Linked DNA regions of Drosophila melanogaster. The protein of the gene in region 2 interacts with the protein of the main gene of each other region in a pairwise test. Each region holds a gene or a part of one and is shown on either strand. Other genes may lie near its edges. The genes, in order: Sr-CI, 128up and CG6325.

Region 1 (7,188 bases), on a different chromosome or scaffold from region 2:
AATATGAGGTATTAATCTGGGATAAACTTAATCATAAACTTTGTTTTTAAAGTATAATTATAATTCTTGTTACCAACCTCTTTGAATTGCCTATTCTCCCCATGTTGCATTTCTCATGCGGACCAACCCACCGACGAAGGTGCAAACTTGAAAACAATAATATTGCAGTTGCTGTCGTTTCGCCCCAAAACCCTAACATTTCCATCAGTTACAGGACAAGCCCATTAAGGGGAAAATTGTCTGAGTGGGTGAGGATTTCCACCGTACCGTCAAATATGCGGTGACAACAATAAATTAATGCGATTTATTGCCGCGATAAGAACGGGATAGCAAGAGGCCTAGGGACTTGGGATGAAAAACAAAAAAAAAAAAAAAAAACAGGGTGTCAAGGGTGCGTCCCCTTTGTATGGCAATGTGTGTGGGCTTGTTCGGAATGCGGCAGATAAGGTGAGCCCCTTGAAGCGCCCATTACCACGCCATTTTCCATGCAAAAATTTGTCCACTGAAAATTAACGATGCTCCACAGGCAATGCAGCCGAACGAAATATACTCGTGTACAGCCCAACGATTCCTCAACCATCCTTAACCCCACCAGTTTGCAGATAAGCCGACTTACTTACCATTTAATTAGGGCCTCAATGAGCATTAGGGTGAAAATGCGGCAACAGCAACTCGAGGCACGCCCCCTGTCTGGGCCATCAAAATGCCTTTTTAATTAAAACCCGAAGCGTACGGGGAAAAAAAAAAACAGGAAAATTTTCGCCGCCAAATGATGTGTGAGAAGTCGATAGAGAGCGACGGTGGGCGCTAAATCACAATGGCAAACAGGAAGTCATGAAAAAATTGAGCTTTAGAGGGGAAAATCCTAAATATCGGACAAGGGTGCATGCAAAACGCTGCGGAAAACTCAAAGCTGGAAAATCTTGTGTGAAATTTTGTTGAGCCTGCAAACTCTAGCTATTTCGTTGGCTTGCGTTGGGGTTTTCGGTCTGGGAATCGTCTGGCCAGGAGCTATAATTGCATAAAATGCCCAGAAAAATAATTCTGCTGAGCGCCGCACAAATCGTTCTTACACGGAGAACAAAACGATTATAATTTATATAAAAAAATAAAAAAAAATGGGAAAAATTAATTGGAAACCAAAGATAATCTAGTTATTGCACGTTTCATCATAAAGAAAAAAGAAGTTTACGTTGAAGGTTTTATTCTATTTTTTCTCAGTATCAACTATTTCGTGCAGTGCATTGGAAGGGGTGTGATAGCGGTTGTCTGGTTACTGGTAACTGGTCCCGTGCCAGACGCTAAGCTGCCAGTAAATCACAACCGAAAGCCGCTGTTAAAACACGAGCCTGCCCCGGAAAACTCGGAAAACTCTGTTGGTGGTTGCTTTGGCTTGGGTTTTCGGTTAGGTTATTGGGTCCTTGGGTCTCCAGCGTTTTCTTTTTGCACGATGGCAGACGGTGGTTGCAACAGCCGCTGGCAGGACACGTGCAACACCCGGAATCGAAGGTGGGGGGGGGGGGGTGTCGGTGAAAGTGGACGGTATGGGGTGACTGACAGACAGCAGCATCAGAATCCGCAGGAACTTAGAGCCGGAGGGCATTTCCTAGTAACTGACACTCCCCACAAGATTTGATTATGGATGGAGATCGGGGAAAGTGCGGAACTCCTTCAATGCTCGTTAAATGCGCCCAAAAGAGATTCATATTCGAGGAGTTAACTTTCCGGCCTCATACATATATCAGCTACTTCCCACCTGCCTTTCGCGAATTCAATTTTCTTGCCCTTTTCGCAAACAAAATATAACCTAATTTGATTGGGTTATTCACATAGTTATTCTTAGGGGTTTGTCCGATAGGGGGATCGAAGGCCTTGAAGGCACTTTTAACAAAAATTAAATGGCGCATTGAGCAACAATGCTGCGTTTTATCATGAATAACATACACTGAAGTTTATCACTTTAAAAAAAGGTTTTGAATTCAAAACTAGAGCGCTTTTGTATACAATCTGCTTTCTCCCTATTCTTATACTATAATTCATTTCATTTTTAAACGCAAACCGACATAAGTGTCAAGAGTTTACAGCACGACGTCTTGGTCGATAAGACATCCACTACCCATTCAAATCAACAAATGACGCAATTCTTTAGTATTTGGTGTTCCAAGGGCATATGTTCTGTAAGGGATCTCGTATCAGTTGTTTGGCACATTTTATTTACAAACAATTGTTTAGCGCACCAAAAGTGTAAAGCAATAAAGTCATGAATGTGAGCACAAAATTATCGTTGCAATTTATCCGGAAAGTGGGCGTTGCATATTTTCTTTTATTCGATTCTTGCATACACATTTAGAAACATCCTATACAATAGGCACAGTCCTAAGCGTTTGTTTTGGTATCACTGGGGATTACCCTCATAGATCGGTCCTATGTCGTATGTCCACGCCCATTTCCTCGAAATACTCTACATCGTCGTTATCGGAGTCGCATAACGGCTGATCATCCATGCTGTTTCTTTTCCGTTGCTTCTTCAGACTATCGAATGCCTTCTTGAATCTCACAGCCTTTTCGCTGCTGGTCTTTGATCCAGTGATTGGTATTATCCAGCGATTAACGACGTTGGCCAGAACTACCACCAGAACAATGGCGAGGAGCAGGTAAAGTACTACTAAAGCTGGATTGGGGGTACTTCCGCTCGTGTCCATGTGACCCTCGATGTCCTGAGGATCAACGTTCCAAGTGATGCGCTTCCGTGTTTTCATTGTGGTGTTGATGCCTAGGTTATCATATTAATTTTCTTTTAACGCAATCATAAAAAAAAGGCTTAAGTCTTACCTGTAGTCTTTTCGGTACTGGAAGTAGGGATCATTATTGTTGTTTTCTTTGTTGTAAACACATTTATTGTAGTTGTTGTCGTTGGTGTTGTTGAAGTTGTAGACGTTGTAGAAGTTGTAGACTTTGGTGTGGTTGAAGTCGTTGTTGTTGGCTTCGGCGTTGTTGAAGTTGTTGTCGGTTTTTTAGTGGTTGTTGTTCGCTTTGTAGTTGTGGCCTTTGTTGTTGTTGTGGTTGTGGTTGGCCTTTTAGTTGTTGTTGTACTTGTAGTAGTTGTGCTTGTGGTTGTTGTTGTCGTTGACTTCCTCGTAGTGCTTGTGCTTGTTGATGTGACCGTTGGGGGCAGGGAACTAATATCATCCTCGGTCGTGGTGAGCAGCTCCTTTGTGCACTCCTCCAAATAGTTTAGGCAACAAGTCTCATCCGAAAGGCACTCGTCATTACACCCACATCCCATGACTATACCATTGTTGGTTATATTGGAGGCCGAGATTGATGTTCCGCATCGACCTGAACAACTCATCATATCGTAGACCAGTGGTTGCTCGTTGCTGCCTGTCGGAGCCGTTGGTTCTGTGGTGGTGCTAAATCCGTTTGTGCCACACTCACTGCCTGTCATTAGCTTTACATCATCGATGGCAATATCTCCGAATTGGGATCTTGCATCCGTTGCCGTGAATATCACCTGGAAGTCCTCTTGCATCTCGTCAATGCTGATCGTGTGCTCTAGCCACTGGGTTCCCTGCTGACCAGATATCTCAAATTTGCTGCAACTAAGATAAAACAGAAACAGAAGCAATCAGTATAATTGTTGCCATGCTTTCGGAATTTTTTGCCACTTTTATCTCATTGCCTGCGACCTTTAATCTAAAACCTCTTCCGCTCCGGCAAAACTCACTTGGCTCTGAACCTATTCCACATGGTTGCCATTGGCATCGAAACGGGTTTAACGGACACCACCAGATTATCCACACCAGCGCCAAACATGAAGTAGTGGAATCGAAAGCAGCAGGCGGTCTTCAGGGTGAGGGATCTGGGATAGATCGGCGATAGCAGATGGTAGCTTCCATAAGCCCCCATTTGGGTTTCCATGCGCATGTAATGACCACCGGATTCGTTTTTAAACGTGTGATCGTGGCGGGGTCCCGTTCTTAGGGAGTGAATATCGGATACCGTGCTGACTCGCTTCCAGGGTCGTCGGAAGGTTGTCTCCGCCTCCCAACCGCACTGATCCTCGCTCTCGAAATCGCAAGAATGATCTCTTGTGTGGTTGCTCCTTCGACACGATCCCAGCTGGGTGCTCCATCTTTCTCCATCGCAGTAGGCAGTGCGACCACCGACCAAGACATAGCCATCGTGGCACACGACATCCGCCCTTAGGGAAAGATTTTCGACGTGTCCGTTCTCCGGATCCTCGGGCCTCGCACATCCCCTACCTTATGTTGAAAAAATGCAAGAAACTCAGTAAAACCATTAGATTATATCGATTTTGTGGCTCTTACTGGCACAGAATGGTTTTTCGCCTCGAAGGCGACCATCTCGATCGCAAGTTTGCATTACTGTTCCCTGCAAAGTGTAGCCGCGATTGCATCTGAATCTCACCACATTTCTCTGTCGATAATTTATACTTCCATTATCCAAATCTATTGATCTTTCACATCGTCCATGAATGTGACCTATACAATATATCACAATCACAGCCAGAGTCCAGAAAAATTCCATTCCGCAGAGATATTACGAACTTAATGTATAGATACGGTCGAAGGCTGTCAAAAGACTGAGAGTCCGATTGCAGCTCGACATCACTCGGAGCAACGAAGAGCGGGACTCATACAATTACAAGATGGTTGAAGTCGAAGAGCAGATAACCGCTATATTGTTCATTCTTAATTCACTCTTAATTTTATACAAATATATATAAATATAGATTTAAATCGCGTCTTATTTTCTTGCGCTGCACTTATAAACGTTTTTTAAACTTATACTATGGGTAAATCTTATAAGCCCAAAATGATAATAGATTTTACAACTCGTCCTTGTTAAGAATGTGGTTCATTGGTTTCAGATTTTATAAATTTTACATCGTCGATACCAATGTCTCCATGGAGAGAACTTGGGTCCACGACTGTGAAGACCACCTGGAAGTCCGACTCCATCTCGTCGATGGAGATGGACTGGCTTTTCCAGTTTGGGCCTTGATCGCCAGACACGGTGAGTTTGGTGCAGCTGGAGAATAACATAAGATGTATTTAAAGCATTTTAAAGTGATTTGGATAGATCGCTTACATATTTCTGAAACTATTCCACATATCCTCGACCGCCATTGAAGAGGGTTTCACGGAGATCGTCAGGTTTCTTACTTCCGAACCAAACATAAAGAGTTCGAACTGAAACCATAAGGAATGGCCCACCGTGAGGTTCCTGGGATAGATCGGCGATATGAAGTGGTAGGTTCTGGAAGCGTGTACCTGCGATTGCAAGCGAATAAAGTGTCCTTCGACGTCGCTCTGGAATGTGTGATCCTGTTGCAGGCACTTTTCTTTGAGAAAATCTGCCGCAGCACTTATTCGCTTCCATGGTTGGGGTATGGCTTTGCTGGCCCTCCAACCGCACATATCCTCACGTTCGAAGTCACAGGAATGGTCACCGACGCTGTTGGCCAACTGACAGGTTCCCAGCTTGATGATCCACTTCGTTCCATTGCAGTAGGTAAAGGAATTTCCGCTAAGAACAAATTCATCATCGCATTCGATTTCCGCCTTTAAGCCATCCGTGGCCGTCAAAATGGTTCCGTTGGCTTGTTTCTCAATATCATTGCAACCCGCTTCTGAAAGTTTTACATTATATATACATATTTTAAGTTTTATTACTCATTTTAACTCACTGGCGCAGTAACGCTTCATCATATTTCCATTGCCAAGGTGCCACGTCTTTCCCTGCAAAGAAAATCCGGGATTGCACTCGAACTTGATGCTATCACCTAGGAGCCAACTAGATAACTCTGTAACTTTTCCGTTGCGCAACAAAATGTCGGGCTCACAACTGGCAATCGATTGGATCACCATATATATCATAAATAGTCTCAGTGCCCACAAAATTTCTACAGAAACCATTGCCATTGTATAAATTTGGATGCTAAATAACGACTGAACTGAGTAAAGCTTTTGAATACAAATTTTTACGTTTCCTTATCTGCTATCAACTTTTTTGTACCAAAAATCTCAAAAAATCTTATCGTTTACTTTTTGCGTATTTCCACATTATATTTACTTCTACAAATATTGAACCAACCGCTGCTTACTTTATACACTTTTATTTTATAATAAATAAACACTTCTCTTTTCTTTCAGAACATGTGAAATGATACGGTAAGTTCCAAATGTTTCTAAATAGTAGGTGGGGTCTTGCCATATGTTAGTTTGAATAAAATGAAATGTACACTTGAATACTTGTAGAAATGCTGCACGATATTGCAAAAGGGCTGATAAATTGTATTGTTCCGAAAAAGGTATGGGAAATCCGTAGATCGGTTGAACTTGGGCGATATCTTATTATCAGTGAATGATAAATTATTCGTTTAGTTCATCCCCAAATAACACCACTAAACTGGCTTTATCGTTTTGTCCTGGGACGCCATTCAAATGCAATTATTCGCATCTCCGGTCGGAATTGGATTCCATGGAGATGGAACTAAATAGAAGCATCTTCTTCCTGTCGCCTGCAAGCTTAAATAAATGGGCATCTGTTGGAAGGTCCTGGAAAATGATTGTCGAGGGTTCGGGTGGCGCTTCTTGCTGTGATTTATGTTTACTTCCGCTTAAGACTCAAACAACTCGCAATCATGACGGTCGCTCTCTCCGCATCTCTTTCCAAATCTCCCCCCCACTTTCGTAGTGTCGAGATAATCAGTCAATATTGACAACTACTTATTGGCACTTCCGATGAGCGCGGATTGGGGCGGAATGGGCGGAATGGGAATGGTAGGGTTGGGGTGCCGAAGGACACGTGACCGGGGATCAGGAACTGCCACGTGTCCGGCGAAATGCAACGGAAAGTGTAGCGAATTCCCTTTCTCCGATTTCCCGATTCAATGTAAGCAATTCAAATTTCATACATAATTACAATCAGTGCAAAGGAAAACGAAAGGGATGGAACTTAAGGGAGGTTTCTAACTGTGGGACTCTTAAAAGCGAACATAATTCTGAGTGCACTGAAAAATGTTAGGCAGCGCCACATCAAAACAAAATGTATGTTAAATTTAAAATTCCAACAGAAGTAATATACCACTATTTGCGTTTTTATGTACATTTTGCAATGCATCCGATAAAAATTGAAAAACAATTTTTTAATGCGGAATGT
Region 2 (6,366 bases):
TCTTAAATCTCTTGATCGTCCAGTTGCCGGAACTGATAGCAGACTCCAGTCCCGCTGTGATTTGTGCCGCCCTCATGTGCTTGACCACATCGAACTGCGCCGCCTTCACCTTGGGTATATTTTTGTCCGCAATGGTCTTAAGCTCCCAGTTCATGCGCTTGAACAGATCCTCGAACATCATGGAGAGCAAAGAACCTGCCAGCTCCAGTCGCTTGTTGCCGTAGTAATCGCGGTCGTCAAAGAGCGTTTTGTCCAGCTCGGCGGCCATAACACGACGCACCATCATGGATACATAGATGGCCTTCATTTGCAAGTTAAAGTTGTCCACAGGCACATGCGCCAAAATGGTAGTTAACAGCAGCTCACGGGCCTCTTCCGATGGCGTTTTTGTGGTGGCACTCTGAAAACGCTTGACCACCAACTTGGAGCCTAAAAAAAGGTATTTTAAGAACAAAATTTAACTAGGGTAAACAAACCTACCCATGTACTCCAAAGCCCTTTGCTGTGTGAAGACCTTCAGGTTGTAGGCGTCTATTAGAGAGGCACCGAATCTATTCTGCGATTTGCTGTCAATGCCAATTAGCGATTGAATTTCCTGATCGGAAACTACGCCCAGAGCTTTAAAGATCACCACAATGGGTATGTCGTCCGTCATCGAGTTGTGCTTGAGGTAGTACTTTCCATGCTTGCTCAACACCAAAGTACGTGACTTCTTTTCGTGTGTGGAGGAGGTAACCTGGCATTGCACCACACCGTTGAAGTCCTCGGTGAGCATCTTGTTCCATGACAGCTGCTCCTGAATGAGGATAACCTTCTCCTGACCTCGCACCACAAAGTAGCCGCCAGGATCTAGTGGACACTCATTCAGTTTGGACAGCTCGAACTCCGACTTGCCGGTAAGGGCGCAATTGGAGCAGCGCAGCATGAGGGGCATCCTTCCGATGAGCAAATTATTCCGCTTGATCCGCTGGGTTCCCCTCGTGTACTCGATGTCCACGGTGATGGGGGCGGAGTACGTGGTGTCCCTCAGACGGCATTCGTGCGGTGTGGTCGCTTTGGTGATGTTGAAGCCATCGTCGATGTCCGGCTTGCCCACCCGCACATCCAAGTACTTTAGGTAAAACAAAGGATCAGCTCCACTGGTAACCAGCTCGTTAGCCTTCACAATCTTTTTTATGTCCACGTTGATGAAGTGATTGAAGGAATCAATGTGCTGCTTCACTAATCCTTTTACTTGCAAGAATGCCGGCACCAATTTCCACTTCTCCGTTAGCGGCTTAATGGGCACCGACCAGTCCTTGCTGTCGCCGGGATCCCAGGTGGTGGCCTCCACGTTGTGATCGCCCATCTTTAGCTCCACCATTTCGTTATAATAATTTAATTTAAGTTTGTCAACAAAACAGCGTGCTATGAGGTTCTTCGATATGCGGTTTCTTTACCTATCGGTTATCGATATACTTGGGCAAGTGATAGCAAAGTTATTCCCATAGAGCTGGCAGTGAAATTAATTCCCGCTAAATCTAGCTTTAATTTATTTAAATTACCTCTGTGCGCGCCAATTAAAAAATTTGATAAAATAAAAATTAGAGGGTTTTCTTAAACTTAAGCCGCCTTAAATCCACGCACACATAAAGCACATTCGTTTTTTATTTTCGAATAAAAAATGCCATCAAGTAATCAAAGTGTTATCGTTGCACAGAGTCTAAACCTTCTTCACAATCTGGACCACATCCTCGTCGTTGAGAACGTGTTCGATGCCCACCTTCTGTGGCTGATGCTTCACAGATGAGCCCCAAACCAGCGCACTACGAAGGAAATACATAAATGTTATTATAACCAAGGGAACAGAGGGAAAGTGAAGCGCACTCACTATTTAAATTCCTTGGCAATGGAGCGATGCAGCTTGTTGCAGAAATCCTCAATGCTGGTGCGCTCGTTGTGGAGTACCACGGGCGAGTTGTAATCGGGCAGCTGGCCCTTGGGCTTGGTGTAGATGCGCTGCAGTCGCAGGTATTCCCACATCAGCTCCAGCAGATCGTCAAAGTTCCAGTGGTGATGGGCCGAGATGGGCACGCAATGCGGGATCTTGTAGATGACGTCCAGCTCCTCGATGGAGATCTGATCGATCTTGTTCAGCAGATATATGCAGGGTATGTAGATGCGGTTGCCCTCGATAACGTCAATGAGGTCGTCACTAGTGGCGTCGTATCTCAGGGTGATGTCCGCATTGTGGATCTTGTACTCGGATAGAATGGTCTTCACCAGATCCGTGTCCAACTCGGACTGCGGAACCATGCTGTTCAGATTGATGCCACCCTTGTCCTTCCGCTTGTAGTAGATATTTGGTGGTTTCTTGTTAAGCCGGATGCCGAAGCCCTCCAATTCATGCTCGAGGAGTTTCTTGTGGCCAAGCGGTTTCAGGCAATCCAGCACCATGAAAATGAGGTTACAGGTGCGAGCGACAGCAATCACCTGACGACCTCGACCCTTGCCATCCTTAGCGCCCTCAATGATACCGGGCAAGTCCAGCAGCTGGATCTTAGCGCCCTTGTACTTAATGCATCCCGGCACAGTGGTCAACGTTGTGAATTCGTATGCCGCCACCTCGGAGTAAACGCCAGCCAAGTTGGAGAGCAGTGTGGATTTACCCACAGAAGGAAACCCTACGAATCCCACCCGGGCATCTCCAGTCTTGGCCACCTCGAAGCCAGCTGGAAATACATAATGTTTAGTGATTGCCTGAATTATATATCCAAGAGCCTACCTTCGCCGGTTCCGCCGCCGCCTCCTTTGGGGGAAATCAGTTCGCGTCGCAGCTTAGCCAGCTTCGCCTTCAGTAGACCCAAATGGGCCGAGGTGGCCTTGTTCTTTTGGGTTCGGGCCATCTAGGATTCAGTTGAGAAGGTGGTCCAACAACCCGGTGATTTAGATAGAATCCAGGGGGGAATCCGCGGGGTAAATGGATGCGAGACAGGTTAGTTTCTGTAAGATCGGCAGGTACTCCAAGTTCCACTCACCTCCGACTCGATGGCCGAGATTTTCTCCAATATTGTGCTCATGGCTGGCTGAGAGTTAAACGCGGTTCACAGAAAACCCCAGTTATCAACAAATATGCATGTAAAAATAAAATATATAAAACTCTCGCGTGGACAGTTGGAGGTGCAATCGATATGTATTCGATACAATCGATTTGTTCAGTAATGTGGTCGATTCCCAACGTTAGCCAACACTTAACGAATCGTAAAAGTATTCTTAGACAAAATTAAAATGGTCAGGCTGATTGGAATATAGCCGTTACAATTTGATGGCTGCAAGAATGTTTGCTAAAGGTTAAGTTCCGCAATTAAATACTGAGAACTATTTATAAATTAACAAAAAATTAACATTGTTTCAGTTAAACCGCGCACCCCTCTGGGTAACAACCAAGCTCAATTTAAGAGCCAACTGACCAACAACGTCTCGCAATTGAATCGCAGTTTTCCAACGGCCGCTGAACTTTTGCGCAAAAATAGCACCCAATTGCGGCAAACAAAACTAACTGTCTGTCGTAAGGATAATAAGCTAATATACGATGGATTCGTGGAGGAAGCTGTGAAAGTTCAGCCCAAAAAGGAGAACGTTCCATCACCGATTATTCTGGAAAAATCCAGTTGCGAAATGTCAGCCAAAAAGGAATCAGCGGAGTTGCCAAGCTCCCCGATGTTGAAGCCAGGACGAAACTTAATTAGTTTAATTGGTCGCGTGGATTTCTGCCTTAAAACTCAAAAAATGTATCCGGAAATTAATGCTATTTGGAATGTTTACGGTGGGTCTGAACTGAAATACATTCAAAATCAAATTACTATATACATTTTAAACAGAATGATTAATATCGCTAAATTTGGCAAGTTAAATCATTAATTATCGTTTTTCAGGAAAATTGCTACGGATCATTGTGGGAAAACGTGGAGAACACACCTTGCTCGTGCGAAACAAAGAATCGGGGCCCGTCCTTCAGGGAATTTACTACGATTTCGAAGGCGTTATGAGTACTTGGAGCCCAGGTAAAATGCAGGAAACTGATAACCATTACATAACCAAAGTTTTATTCATTAAAAGGCTGCTTTGTCCATCTCGTGGGCCAGTTTATTGGCGAAAATCGCTTGAAAACATTTAAGATTGACCAGGTAAGCGACATTGACTGGCAACAGCAATTTCTGCGCATTGAAAATGTTACCTCGTATATTTTATTGCAAAACACTATGCAAAAGTAATTTATTTTTTAAGGATACAGTTTTCTTGAGATTTTTAGGCCAGGCGATAGTGTACTTTTCACAAGGTATAAATATGCTAGCCTAAGCTTTTCGATCCTGGCCTCCAATCAACAGTGAAATGTTTCATTTTGTACTTTTGTAGTTTACAAATCATGAATAATTTATAGAGTTAGTAACTTATAATTAATATACCTAGGAAATAAGTTAGCTTCAAAATGCCCCCTGACGATTCTCTCCAGGAGCATTGCACAGTTTCAAGGACTACAACAAATACAAATTCCGAAGTGGGCGTATAAAGTCTAATACTGGTGAACTTATTGAACTAATTGGAAGGAAATGGGTATTCAGTTCTACGAGTACAAGTCGAAGTACATGAAGACCGTGACCAGAAATCCGCAGAACAGGGCGCACAAGTAGCCCAAGTGCATCGAGGCAGTCTTCTCCTCGCGGAAACTGCAAATTGAAGTAAAGACTCCATGTTATAATGAATAATTAAAGGTGATTTCCCCAGAGCTTACCGTTTCTTGGAACGCGGCGTAAAGGGCGAGGGGGGATTTACGCCGGGCACCGCGCTGTCCAAGTACACGATTCCGTACGCGAAAGCTGCCACTAGAAGGCCACACAGCAGGGGACTCAGCCTGGAGCCCAGCTGGTGCCTGGTGGCCCACACCAAGGTCTCGTTCCACCTACTCTGCACCTGGTGGCTCAGCACCTGGATGGAATCGCCCGTGATGTATGGCACTGCAAAGAGAACGCCCAAAGCTCGTTAGTATCTCATTTTGAGTGTCGTTCTATTGATTTCACTGTTATCAGTCCTAGCGTGATAAACACGTCAAAATGTTGGGTTTATAACTAGGGTGGTTCAAATTTATTAGTCAGATATGTACGCTATGAGGGAATCAAAGCAATTTGGCTAAATGGAAAGAATTAGTGGGCAAAGAAATTTGCAAAAATGTACAGAAACCCCATTCGTTACACCATAAATAGCAAGGTTGCGCTTTTTATAGATTTGGACCGATGGGAAAGATTGGAAATAAATATTCGTTTGTATTGGTTTAATTATTTCTTTTCTCGACAATGTATAAAATTTGTTTTCTGCTTATATCAAATTTATATGTTTGAATTATTTAACAAATAGTTGATTAAACATGTGTTTTTTCTTTGAGCTTTGTTAAACTTTATTAAATTTTTTGTCGCACTTTTTTTGGAGCCACCCTAATGCAAAACCTGCAGCAAATAAAGATTGCTATATCGTCAGAAATGTAAAATTCGTTATTTTCCTGGGCCTTCTAGCGGTACCTTCTAATGTTTATATTACATACATTAGAATATACATGTATGTGTCGCGTGACGAAAGCCCAGTGCTAAATACCGTTAAGCTAAGCGTAGATGAATAACTAATAGCCGCTGGGCAAACAATTAACTAACTAATGGCATTTTGCCTCAAAGATGAAGCAACTAATCACTCTTTGACGATTTTTCTAAGGTCTTCAGTACGTTTGTATGCAAATGAGACGGCTAATGCGCATCAAACAATTTGCCTTCCTTATATAGACGTTTTTTCGCTATTCGGCGGCTTATGCAGGGGGAACAAACACCACCGCTATGAGATCACACGAACTTCAACTATTTATAAACGCGAGAATATAAACAAAGTGCGAGTAAAGACGACGCAACCGACAATTGCAACCTTGAATTCCCACCCCCGCCACACCGGGGATATACAGAAATAAACAAATGGAAATCCAATAAACCCACAATATATTTACGTTTAGCCCCCAGCTTGGCACACTTACTCGTTAAGATGACGCTTTTGTAGCCAATGATAAGAGTCCCAAAGAGAAGGGCCACCTTTTTGATCAGCGGATCGAGGGCGGTCACCACTCCCACTCGCCCCTTTTCCGAGGGTTTAGCAACACCTACGTAGTGCTCAAGTTTCGGATGCGAGGTCTTCGGCGTGGAGGTGTAGATCCGTCCGTTCGGTTGCCCGTTTTTTTTACTTCTGACTGCCGTTGAGAAAATCCCATTGGTTTTGTTTTTCTCCTGCTGGCGATGCGTGACGTCACAGCCGACTTCGGCTGGTTCCACCTGCATTTCGTGGTTTTGCCGGCGT
Region 3 (9,188 bases), on a different chromosome or scaffold from region 2:
TATCATAATATTTAATACACTCGAACCAATACTTTCAGAATGGATCGTTATTCCGGCACTTCGATCAGCGATATCTTTCAAAGCAGGAGTTTTGCCTGCAGCCCAATCCGACAAGTACCGGTAAGAACTACAGCCTCATTGTCGCCTTCAACTGCATTCAAAAACCATCTATGAAAATGGCTTATGGTAGGTTTGAATGTGTGCGGAAATCCAGATTATCGAATGCTTCCATTCCAGTCAAGTTCAGCTCCGTCTTCTTTATGGTCATTACAATTGCGGCGTACCTTTGGCTGCCAAAATTCAGATCGCTCCATGGCAAGTGCTGCAATCTGTACTTCATCTGCTTGGCCATCACTTTTTTACTGAATGTCATCAGCCTGTTTGGAATATTTGAGCTGAAGACCCCAATTTGCTATCTCACCGGTAACCAAATGAAGTTCTTTCATCACTATATTAAATATATATCTATAATACTGGCTGAGAATTGCAGGATATGCTGGCTACTTCACTGTAATGGCCACTTTTCTCTGGCTTTCCGTCATAAGTTTCGATGTTTGGAGAAGATTCGCCATGCGAAAGTTCCAGGTCTTCTACAAGAACAAAAGGAGCAGTTTCTTTAACTACAATATTATCGTGTGGAGCTCTGCTGGACTTTTAACGTGCATCATTTTTTTAGTGGATCAATTTGTTGAAACAAATTTAGATAACCCGTATAATCCTGCAGTAGGAGTATTTTCTTGTTGGATATTTAGTAAGTTAAAAAACTGTCTACTATACTTTTTGATTATGAGTATATTAAATTATTTTCAGCCAATGGATGGTCCGCAACGTTTTATTTCTACGCCCCACTGGCAATCCTAATAATTTTAAACTGTGCAAGTTTTTTTCTAACAACCCGATATATTTACGTGGAGAACAAACAAAATCAGAAAGTGCTAAATAACAGCGAACCGCAAAAGCTTTCCAGGAACCATGCCAAGTACCAAGCAATATATTGTTCCTGATAAAACATACTTATTACCCTTTTTCCAGCTATCGAATATATTTTCGCCTGTTTATCATAATGGGCGGAAGTTGGTTTCTCGAAATTATTGCCTTTATATGCGAGATGGAGAATATGTGGAAGCCCTTAATTATTCTAAACGATTACATAAACTGCAGTCAGGGTATAATAATATTTGTAGCTACATTCTGCAACCACGAAATGTTTAGGCTAATACGCAAGCGGTGGGTTTTCTGTGACAGTACACCCTAAGATTTTCAAATGATCATTTGCATTCTTTCAGCATCCAAAACCGAAATATTACTTCCTTAGAATTGACCAATACGAGCCGTCCTGTGGAATCTGAGAAAATGGCCGACGTAGAATTAGGGAAATGAGAAAAATTAAGTAACTGAATTGACTTTTATTTGCCATCACTTCATTACTTTAGAGGACTGGAGACTTCCTGAACAATATCTTGAATTGTATTTCTTATGTTTAATATCTTGAAACGTAGTTCCTAGGCTTGATTACATATGTATATTTTCCACATGCTCCTTCAGTGAAGCATGGAACTAAATCAATCGGTACGTAAATTACTCGTACCGCAGTTCAAAAGATATTGCTAACTAATATTAAATCTAATAGTTGAATCGAAATTTCGAATATCAAAAGTATATGTACGTATATGTATGCATGTGGAGGTATGAGCAGGTTAGAAGTCAAGCTCCGTATCTTAAAACTAAGTTGTAGATTACTTAAATGACTTCAGTCGAAATAAGGACGCGTTTCATGTTTTTGAAAAGCGTTTCGTTGCACTAAGTAAGGTATAGGTAACTAAATACTAAATACAGCACACGTTGTTTGTGTTTAGAACTGAACTAGATGCACGCAACCTTATCGAGTTTTGCAAACTAAAAACTGCTTAAATGTATGGTTTCCCTTATGTAAAAACTGTAATATTTCGAATTACCAAGAAGTTTGCTTTAAGGGTTTTAAAGATTGGTAGTGTTTAAATATTTGCAGCTTTTCTATAACATTATTTTTTTTTACCAGGCTGTCTATGTATTTGGTCAAACTGAAAAATACGCTCACAGTGTCTCGTGGTGTGTGCGCTTTAAGTGGAACTCTACCATGTTGTCGAGATCACTGATGAACATCTTGGACTTTCGGATATCCGAGTTGAGCACGCGCAGATTAGAGGTGTAGTCGGGCAGGTTTAGACCCAAGCTGACGGCCATCTCCTTACCCATCTTCTTGGCCATCTGGGCAAACGTGAGCCGTGCCTTGCCAAGCCGCTTTAGTGGGTTGAACTGCTCGTGCACCTCTTTAAGTTCACCATAATCGAGCACCAGCCATTGACCGCTCTCCATATTCCAGGTGAACAAGATGCGGCTTTCGTACTGCCTGTTGTGAAAAACACAGTCCATTCGGCCAGTGCAGTGTATGCAAATCGCCAGCGGCTGATCCCGCGCCGAGAATTGGGCCGTCAGCATGCAGACGATAGTCTGACTAAGTGGACACACGCTGATCACCTCATACGCCCAGTCGTAGAACACGTTGTAGATCTTCTGATGCTTCTGGCACAGAAGGCTGATCACGTAGTACGTGAAGGTCTCCAGATCAAACGAGTGCTGGGTGATTACGACGCTACTACAGCGCAGCCGATGATACGACGCCTGTGAAATCATTTGCATCTCCGAGTAACATGAGCCGTGCACTTCCATTGGCAGCGATGTGTGATAGCCCGGTGATATGCAGTCGTCTGATATGAGAACAGATTCCAATTGACATTATTATATACTATACTTTAAAAAGAATTCTTTTACCCTCTTCGCTGGTGATGACGGAGGTTGCATCGTCCTCCTCTACATAGCGTCTTCTTAGCTTCTTTGTGCACACAGGCTTCTCTGGCATTACACCGCCCTGCACAGGCATCTCCACAATACGTGGCTCATCGCGTCGCGGTGACAGGAAGCTCAATCCAGCGTTTGGGGACATGGAGCCACCCATATCGAAACGCTTGGCCAACGACATCTGGAGTGGAGAAAGTGCTCCCAGTGGACCCACTGGCTTGTAACTAAGCATTTGCTGTGTGGCCTGGGATAATGGTGGCGATTTCTGGTTAAACATCTGAGCCGAGTTTGCATTCCGACTTGGCGAACGCATTAGCATGGAACTGGACGGTGGTGAACGGAATCCCAGATGCGGAGGCGTCTGTGCCGGCTGGGAGGGATGTGGCGAAGAGGAGGGCGAAGCACAGGGCGAGTTGTGAAAGAAGTGTGCCGTGGGCGAAAAACGATGGAAGCTGCGAGACGTTGTGCTGGCAGTGGAGGCGTTGAAAGCCCTACCCGCCAATCGCACCTTGGTAAAAGGTATGATATTCTCCGAGTTGTCTTCCGAGAACTCATATTTCTTTTCCGCCAAACGTCGCTTTCGGAAAGTGGATATCTTTTCGTACTTCTCGTTGTCCTCTGAGAATTCATATGCATTCGATTTGTCCGTCATCGAATTGGCAATGGGAGGGCTCTAAGAAAAAAGTAAAATGTATTATCCGGTGTACTTAGGCAAATTTCTTTAAATGAAACCCACCTGCAAATCAATGGTTGTAATGCCATTTCGGAACTTAGTGACTATCCGATGGTTGCGCCTGCGTGGCGGACTAGATTCGTTGACAAGTGGTTTTGTGACCGGCAGCGTGGTCTCCGGCAGAGTCATACTATTAGGGCCCGTAACCAGAGTTGGACTGCAATGTGGCGTGAAAATTAGCTTATCGTATGCCTTTGGCGAAGAGTAAACGTTGCTCCCGGACTGCGACTCATTTTGGTTATGACCGGGTTGACTAGAGCGCTGCTCGGTTTCAATGTCGCTAAAGTCGGCAATTATGCGGGCCACAACACTCTGTTCATTTAAAGACTCTGCCTCCGATCCGGAACCTGTGAATGCAGCTGAGGAGCGATCCTCTTCGCTGGCCAAAATCGATCTGGGTAGCAAGAAAGATTGCGATTGAGGTTGCGCTTGAAGACTGGGCAAGATAAGGCTCTGCTGCTGGGGAAGGTACCCCGAGGTCACGGCCGGCGTGTCCATATCGATGCGCAGCATGTGCATAAATCCATTGGAGATAATCAGAATGCGCTCCGGGCAAAGCAGATTTATTTTCGGATCGAAAGCCGGATCAGTTTCAGTCGAGGAGTATTTTGTGTGCACTGTTAAGTGACAGGTCAGGCAGTGCGCATTGTAAAAGGAATCTAATGGCGGAAAAGGGCTTAGGATCACAGGCAATCTAAAAGTTTTAATTTCTAACACCTACATGGACCGTCGTCATTAAGTTTCTTGCACTCCAAGCAACCCAGTTTAGGAACTTTGACATATGTGATATAGCTATCTTCACCCTCCTCCGTGGCTGCGCCGTGGACAACTAGGATTTGGTGCTGCGCATTTTTCCACTGCGTCATGGTTACAGTCTTTATGTTGTCCACCACATGATCGTCAAAGAGGCGACGCGAGAAAAAGTGGCGCAGCCTCTTGTGCGGTTGGAAAAGCCAGAAGTACAGACTTTGGAGAAAATTATTATTAACCTTATGATAGGATATGTTGAAAAATATGGATCTCACGTGTATTTGTAGCCCATGTTAAAGGAGTAGTGGTTCAGCGAAGAGCTGTCGTTGCACATCACCCGATGGCTTAGCATGTACTGGCCGCAGGCAGTTAGACCCATGAAAATGTGTCTGCATGGATATTCAGGTTATGAACAGAAGATTGAAAAATATGACTATTCGAATATCTTACCCCTCCATCAAATTGCTGGCCATAACATCCTTAAGATATAACTTTAACCTATTTGGCACTCTGACGTAAGGAAGCTGTTGCTTTTGGCCAGCCCTGGAGGAGCCTGAGAAGTGTCCAGTGCGCTGAGAAGAGAATTGAAAGTATGTTTAATTCGTACATCCTTTGGCTAAGTATAGCTCTGTTCCTAATATTAGTAAAACTATCAAAAGTTAGTCATGCGCATGTATCTTTGTAATTCTGATGTTTCTTAAATTAAATCCTTTATATATTAATTTATAAAGTTAACTTTAGAGAATTGAACTCTCATGCACTCATGCACTTTCATTGCAAATCAGTCAAACAAAAACTACAATTTTTCCTTAAAATGAGAGGGTAGACCTTGAACTGAAAAGTTAACCCCCTATAGGTTTTGCATAATTTTATTGTCTGATCAAAATGATTAAAATACTCTAAAATAAATTAGAGGGCAGATTAGATTGCATATAATCTTTCAACTGGACCCACCTCTCTGTCGTAGAGCATCTGCACCAGATTTCGTGTCCTTGGGATTGATGATGGCGTGGGAACTGGCTCTTCCGAAGACTCGTCCGAGCTGTCCACCGTGGAGAAGTCGTCCTCGTCGGAGGACACACCCGACAGCGACTCCACGTAGTTCTGGTAGTCAGTCTCCATATCCAAATCGTTAAAAATCAGACTTAATTTATTCCTCCTACTGTCTCGTCTCCTGAATATCGTCCGTGTTCCTCCGGCTCCGGCCGAAATGCGGCTGTGTCCTGAGTCCTAGCGCCTCTGATCGACTGGCGTGTAGCGCCAGTGGTGCTCATCGGACTCTGGACCTTTTCAACCACCGCTTGAGGGTCCAAATATTACAGCATCATCGCCTTTTCGTTATAAATAAACCGAATTGCTAAATCTCACTGCAACCGCTAGAGCTGGAACAAAAATCTATGTTGGTTCGATACTATCAACAACAATGCCAGTAGCATTAGTTATCGATAAGAACAAAATCAAGAATCGTAATTGAACTATCGATAGATAGAGCTTCAAGGGCGGTTTGTTCAAATGCTAGTTTCTGTAGCTATGAATTAAATTTAACTTTTGTTTGTATGTAAGTGAATAAACACATTCCATTGGTACGGTACATAACGAATTTAGGGAATTCTTGTATAATGTTCTATATTTTAATTTGTAACTACATTGGTTTAGTTTCGATGACAAATCAGCATATTGAGGTGGAAAAATTAAAATGAGCTCATGCAAATGACCCAAAATATGCATGTTCTTGAATCCCACAACGTGACTATTTGTTCATTGACCCCAGGGCGTATTTGTGGGTCAATTCGTTTGCGGAAGCCACCCGTGGCCCCACCGCAACCCCTTAAGAGCCGATCCTATAACCGGCAAAACTGATGCCGGGTTCAGTGCGCCGGGTTTTAGAGCTGAACAAAGTGCAGTCATGAAGAAACCCAGCAGCGGGCTTCAAAATTTTTGGTAATTCGGCATAAAAATGTCGAGCATGCCAGCAAAACAGAACGCCAATTGCCGGGATCAGCAAATTTAGCCAATGGAAATTCGGATCAGAACCGATCGACCAGGAAACCTGATGCGCTGGCAGCGGCCATTGCACCGTGCTTATAAGAGCTGGATGGCTAACTCTCAGGTTTTAGTTCTGGAATAGTACGTGTCGCGGTTGGTAAATCGAGGTACTTCGATACCCCGAGGAATCAGTTAAAATCATACATAATTGTTGACCACAATTGCCTCGGGAACTTCGATCGCGTCCTGAATTTATATCGAGTTATCTAAGGAAATAGTAGCCGTGATTTTACCCAAGAATTTTTCACATATCACAGTTGCTGTTTCTTTTAGATAGCTCTTTTGTAAACAGCCTAGATCCGAATGCGAGTATCCGAGTGCCTTGCGTGAATCCTGGATGAAAAGGTCCTTCGGTTTCAGTTTATGGGATACACACAGTTCAGTTTTGTCACACTTCAAGCATCACTGGGCTTTGTTTATCTCATGAGAGCGAAATTTATTCAACAGGAAACCTTAAATCATACCAATATATAAAAAAATCTGTATATAAAACATTTGAATTTCTTGGATCAAGTTTTTAAGCTTAATCAGAAAAGTAAGTACAAAAGTGAAATAAAGTAGGTTGGTGGATAAATATATTGTAAACTAAATTCTTTTGTCATAAAACGAAATAAGTTAAAATATTTTCATTGAAATCAATCTTTCATTTCCCAGAAAAACAAAGTACACCCAATTTAATTAGATACCAAGAATAAGGGCTTACTTTATTGGTTTGACCAGGTTGGGGAAGCACCACCACAATTTAAAACTTAGGGAACTACAATTTACAGTGTAGAAATGCATGTGGAATATACATATATAAAAACAAAATAAGATGAGTTGCTTAAGAGAGCATTTTGCGAATCATGTAGTTGAGGATTCCACCATTCTTGTAGTAGGTGATGTCCACCTCAGTGTCGAAGCGCAGAATAGTCTCAAAGACGGTGCCATCAGCCTTGAAAAAAGATAGTTCATTAATATAACCAAAATCGCTAGCACCAGGTTTCCAATAGCCTACCTCCACTTGGATCTTCTGGCCCGGCTTTAAACCGCTCTCTGGCAGGGCGATGTTGTACACCTCCCGGCCAGTCAGGTTCAATGTCTCGGCACTCTGTCCCGGCAGGAATTGCAGCGGAATGATGCCCATGCCCACCAGGTTGGAACGATGAATGCGCTCGTAGGACTCCGCGATCACCGCCTTGACGCCCAGCAGGAAGGGACCCTTGGCGGCCCAATCCCGAGAGCTTCCGCTGCCGTAGTCCTTGCCTACAACGAGGACCAGAGGAGTACCCTCCTCGCGGTACCGCTCGGCGGCATCGAAGATATCCAGCTCTTCCTGGCTGGGAATGTGCACGGTGCGGGGTCCTGTCTTTTCGACCAGTTTGTTGACCAACCGAATGTTGGCGAAGGTGCCGCGCGACATGATGGCATCGTTGCCACGACGCGATCCGTACGAGTTGAAGTCACGGGGTGTGATGTTCCGCTCGGACAAGAATCGGGCAGCAGGCGAGGTTCTAGCAATAGATCCAGCCGGCGAGATGTGATCCGTGGTGACGGAATCGCCTAGGAAGAGCAGGCAACGTGCCTTCTGAATGCTCTGCAGCTTGGGAAGATCTCTGGTCATGCCCTCGAAGAAGGGTGGTCGCTTAATGTAGGTGGAATCGGCACTCCAGGAGAAGAGCTTGCCCTCGGACACCTGCAGAGTCTGCCAATCCTGGGAGCCCAGCTCAATTTTGCCTGCAGATGGAAGTGAAATTAAACCAAACTCAAATAAAGATGGCGCACGAAGTACTCACTGTACACCTCCTGGAACATGGCGGGGATTACATGCTTGTTCTCCACTTCCTGTATCTCCGATCGCGTTGGCCAGATGTCCTGCAAGAACACATTCTTGCCATTGGCATCCACTCCCAGAGGTTCCTTCTCGAAGTCGATGTCCACGCGTCCTGCGATGGCATATGCGATCACCAACAGAGGACTGGCCAGATAGTTGGCCCTGGTGTTGGGATGGATGCGACCCTCGAAGTTTCGGTTTCCGGACAAAACTCCAGCACACACGAGGCCGTTCTTCTCGATGGTGTTCACCACATTCTCCTCGAGAGGACCGGAGTTACCAATGCAGGTCATGCATCCATAGCCCACAATATCGAAGCCCAACTTCTCCAGATAGGGAATGACTCCGGACTCTTTCAGGTAGTAGGTAACCACACCGGATCCAGGCGACAGCGAGGTCTTGATATAGGGCAGGATGCTCAGACCCTTCTCAACGGCCTTTTTGGCCAGCAGACCGGCACCCAGCATCACCGAAGGATTCGATGTGTTCGTGCAGGATGTGATGGCCGCAATGACAACAGATCCATGATGCAGTTTGTAGGTCTTGCCATCATCCCACTGGAACTCCCCAAAAGCGGATTGAGCTTCCGGAGCAATGGCGAATCCCTTGAAACCCACCTAAGGTAATGGTGGAGCAAAACAATGTTTAATTTAATTCCCTTTTTCTCAATGAATTTGAAACTTACTGGGCTGGACAGGCACGACTTAAAATCCTCAGGCATGTCGGAGACAGAAACGCGATCGTGAGGACGCTTGGGTCCCGAAACGGAGGTGACCACCGTCGACAGATCCAAGGTGATACTCTGTAGAAGGGATGTATGTTAGCTTAAGTTTTTAGTGGTATATGTAAGGCAATTTCAACCTGAGTAAACTTGGGATCTTGGGCCGCATCAGCATAGTTGCGCAGCTGCTGAGTTGCCTTCAGATACTGGCGAATGATGTCGATCTTCTTTTCAGACCGATCTAAAAAGTTTGTTATGATATAGGTAAAATATTGTTTTATGAAACA

What was found.
Region 1: the proteins of 128up (region 2) and Sr-CI interact in a two-hybrid assay, tested with the Drosophila melanogaster proteins (one large-scale study listed by BioGRID).
Region 3: the proteins of 128up (region 2) and CG6325 interact in a two-hybrid assay, tested with the Drosophila melanogaster proteins (one large-scale study listed by BioGRID).

The regions. Positions count from the first base shown.
Region 1 is NT_033779.5:4,119,123-4,126,310, reverse strand, and holds Sr-CI (scavenger receptor class C, type I), read right to left. Parts: upstream 4,610-7,188; 5' UTR 4,552-4,609; coding exon 4,332-4,551; intron 4,266-4,331; coding exon 3,728-4,265; intron 3,603-3,727; coding exon 2,833-3,602; intron 2,774-2,832; coding exon 2,412-2,773; 3' UTR 2,158-2,411; downstream 1-2,157. Other genes in the region: Sr-CIII (scavenger receptor class C, type III), read right to left, coding at 4,869-5,055, 5,116-5,656, 5,714-5,948.
Region 2 is NT_033778.4:12,034,116-12,040,481, reverse strand, and holds 128up (upstream of RpIII128), read right to left. Parts: upstream 3,185-6,366; 5' UTR 3,060-3,184; coding exon 3,018-3,059; intron 2,886-3,017; coding exon 2,765-2,885; intron 2,712-2,764; coding exon 1,871-2,711; intron 1,806-1,870; coding exon 1,703-1,805; 3' UTR 1,631-1,702; downstream 1-1,630. Other genes in the region: Polr3B (RNA polymerase III subunit B), read right to left, coding at 1-429, 481-1,363; CG43191 (uncharacterized protein), read left to right, coding at 3,317-3,329, 3,395-3,805, 3,915-4,043, 4,099-4,253; CG8321 (uncharacterized protein), read right to left, coding at 4,604-4,706, 4,772-4,994, 6,050-6,347. UniProt on the Drosophila melanogaster protein: Catalyzes the conversion of GTP to GDP through hydrolysis of the gamma-phosphate bond in GTP. Dfd/deformed is required to activate 128up in maxillary segment cells.
Region 3 is NT_033777.3:10,401,575-10,410,762, forward strand, and holds CG6325 (uncharacterized protein), read right to left. Parts: upstream 5,712-9,188; 5' UTR 5,444-5,711; coding exon 5,276-5,443; intron 4,894-5,275; coding exon 4,772-4,893; intron 4,711-4,771; coding exon 4,597-4,710; intron 4,538-4,596; coding exon 4,293-4,537; intron 4,231-4,292; coding exon 3,575-4,230; intron 3,512-3,574; coding exon 2,812-3,511; intron 2,748-2,811; coding exon 2,074-2,747; 3' UTR 1,393-2,073; downstream 1-1,392. Other genes in the region: mthl11 (methuselah-like 11), read left to right, coding at 39-423, 491-751, 811-979, 1,033-1,227, 1,287-1,380; Irp-1B (iron regulatory protein 1B), read right to left, coding at 7,191-7,301, 7,365-8,083, 8,143-8,797, 8,866-8,982, 9,042-9,142.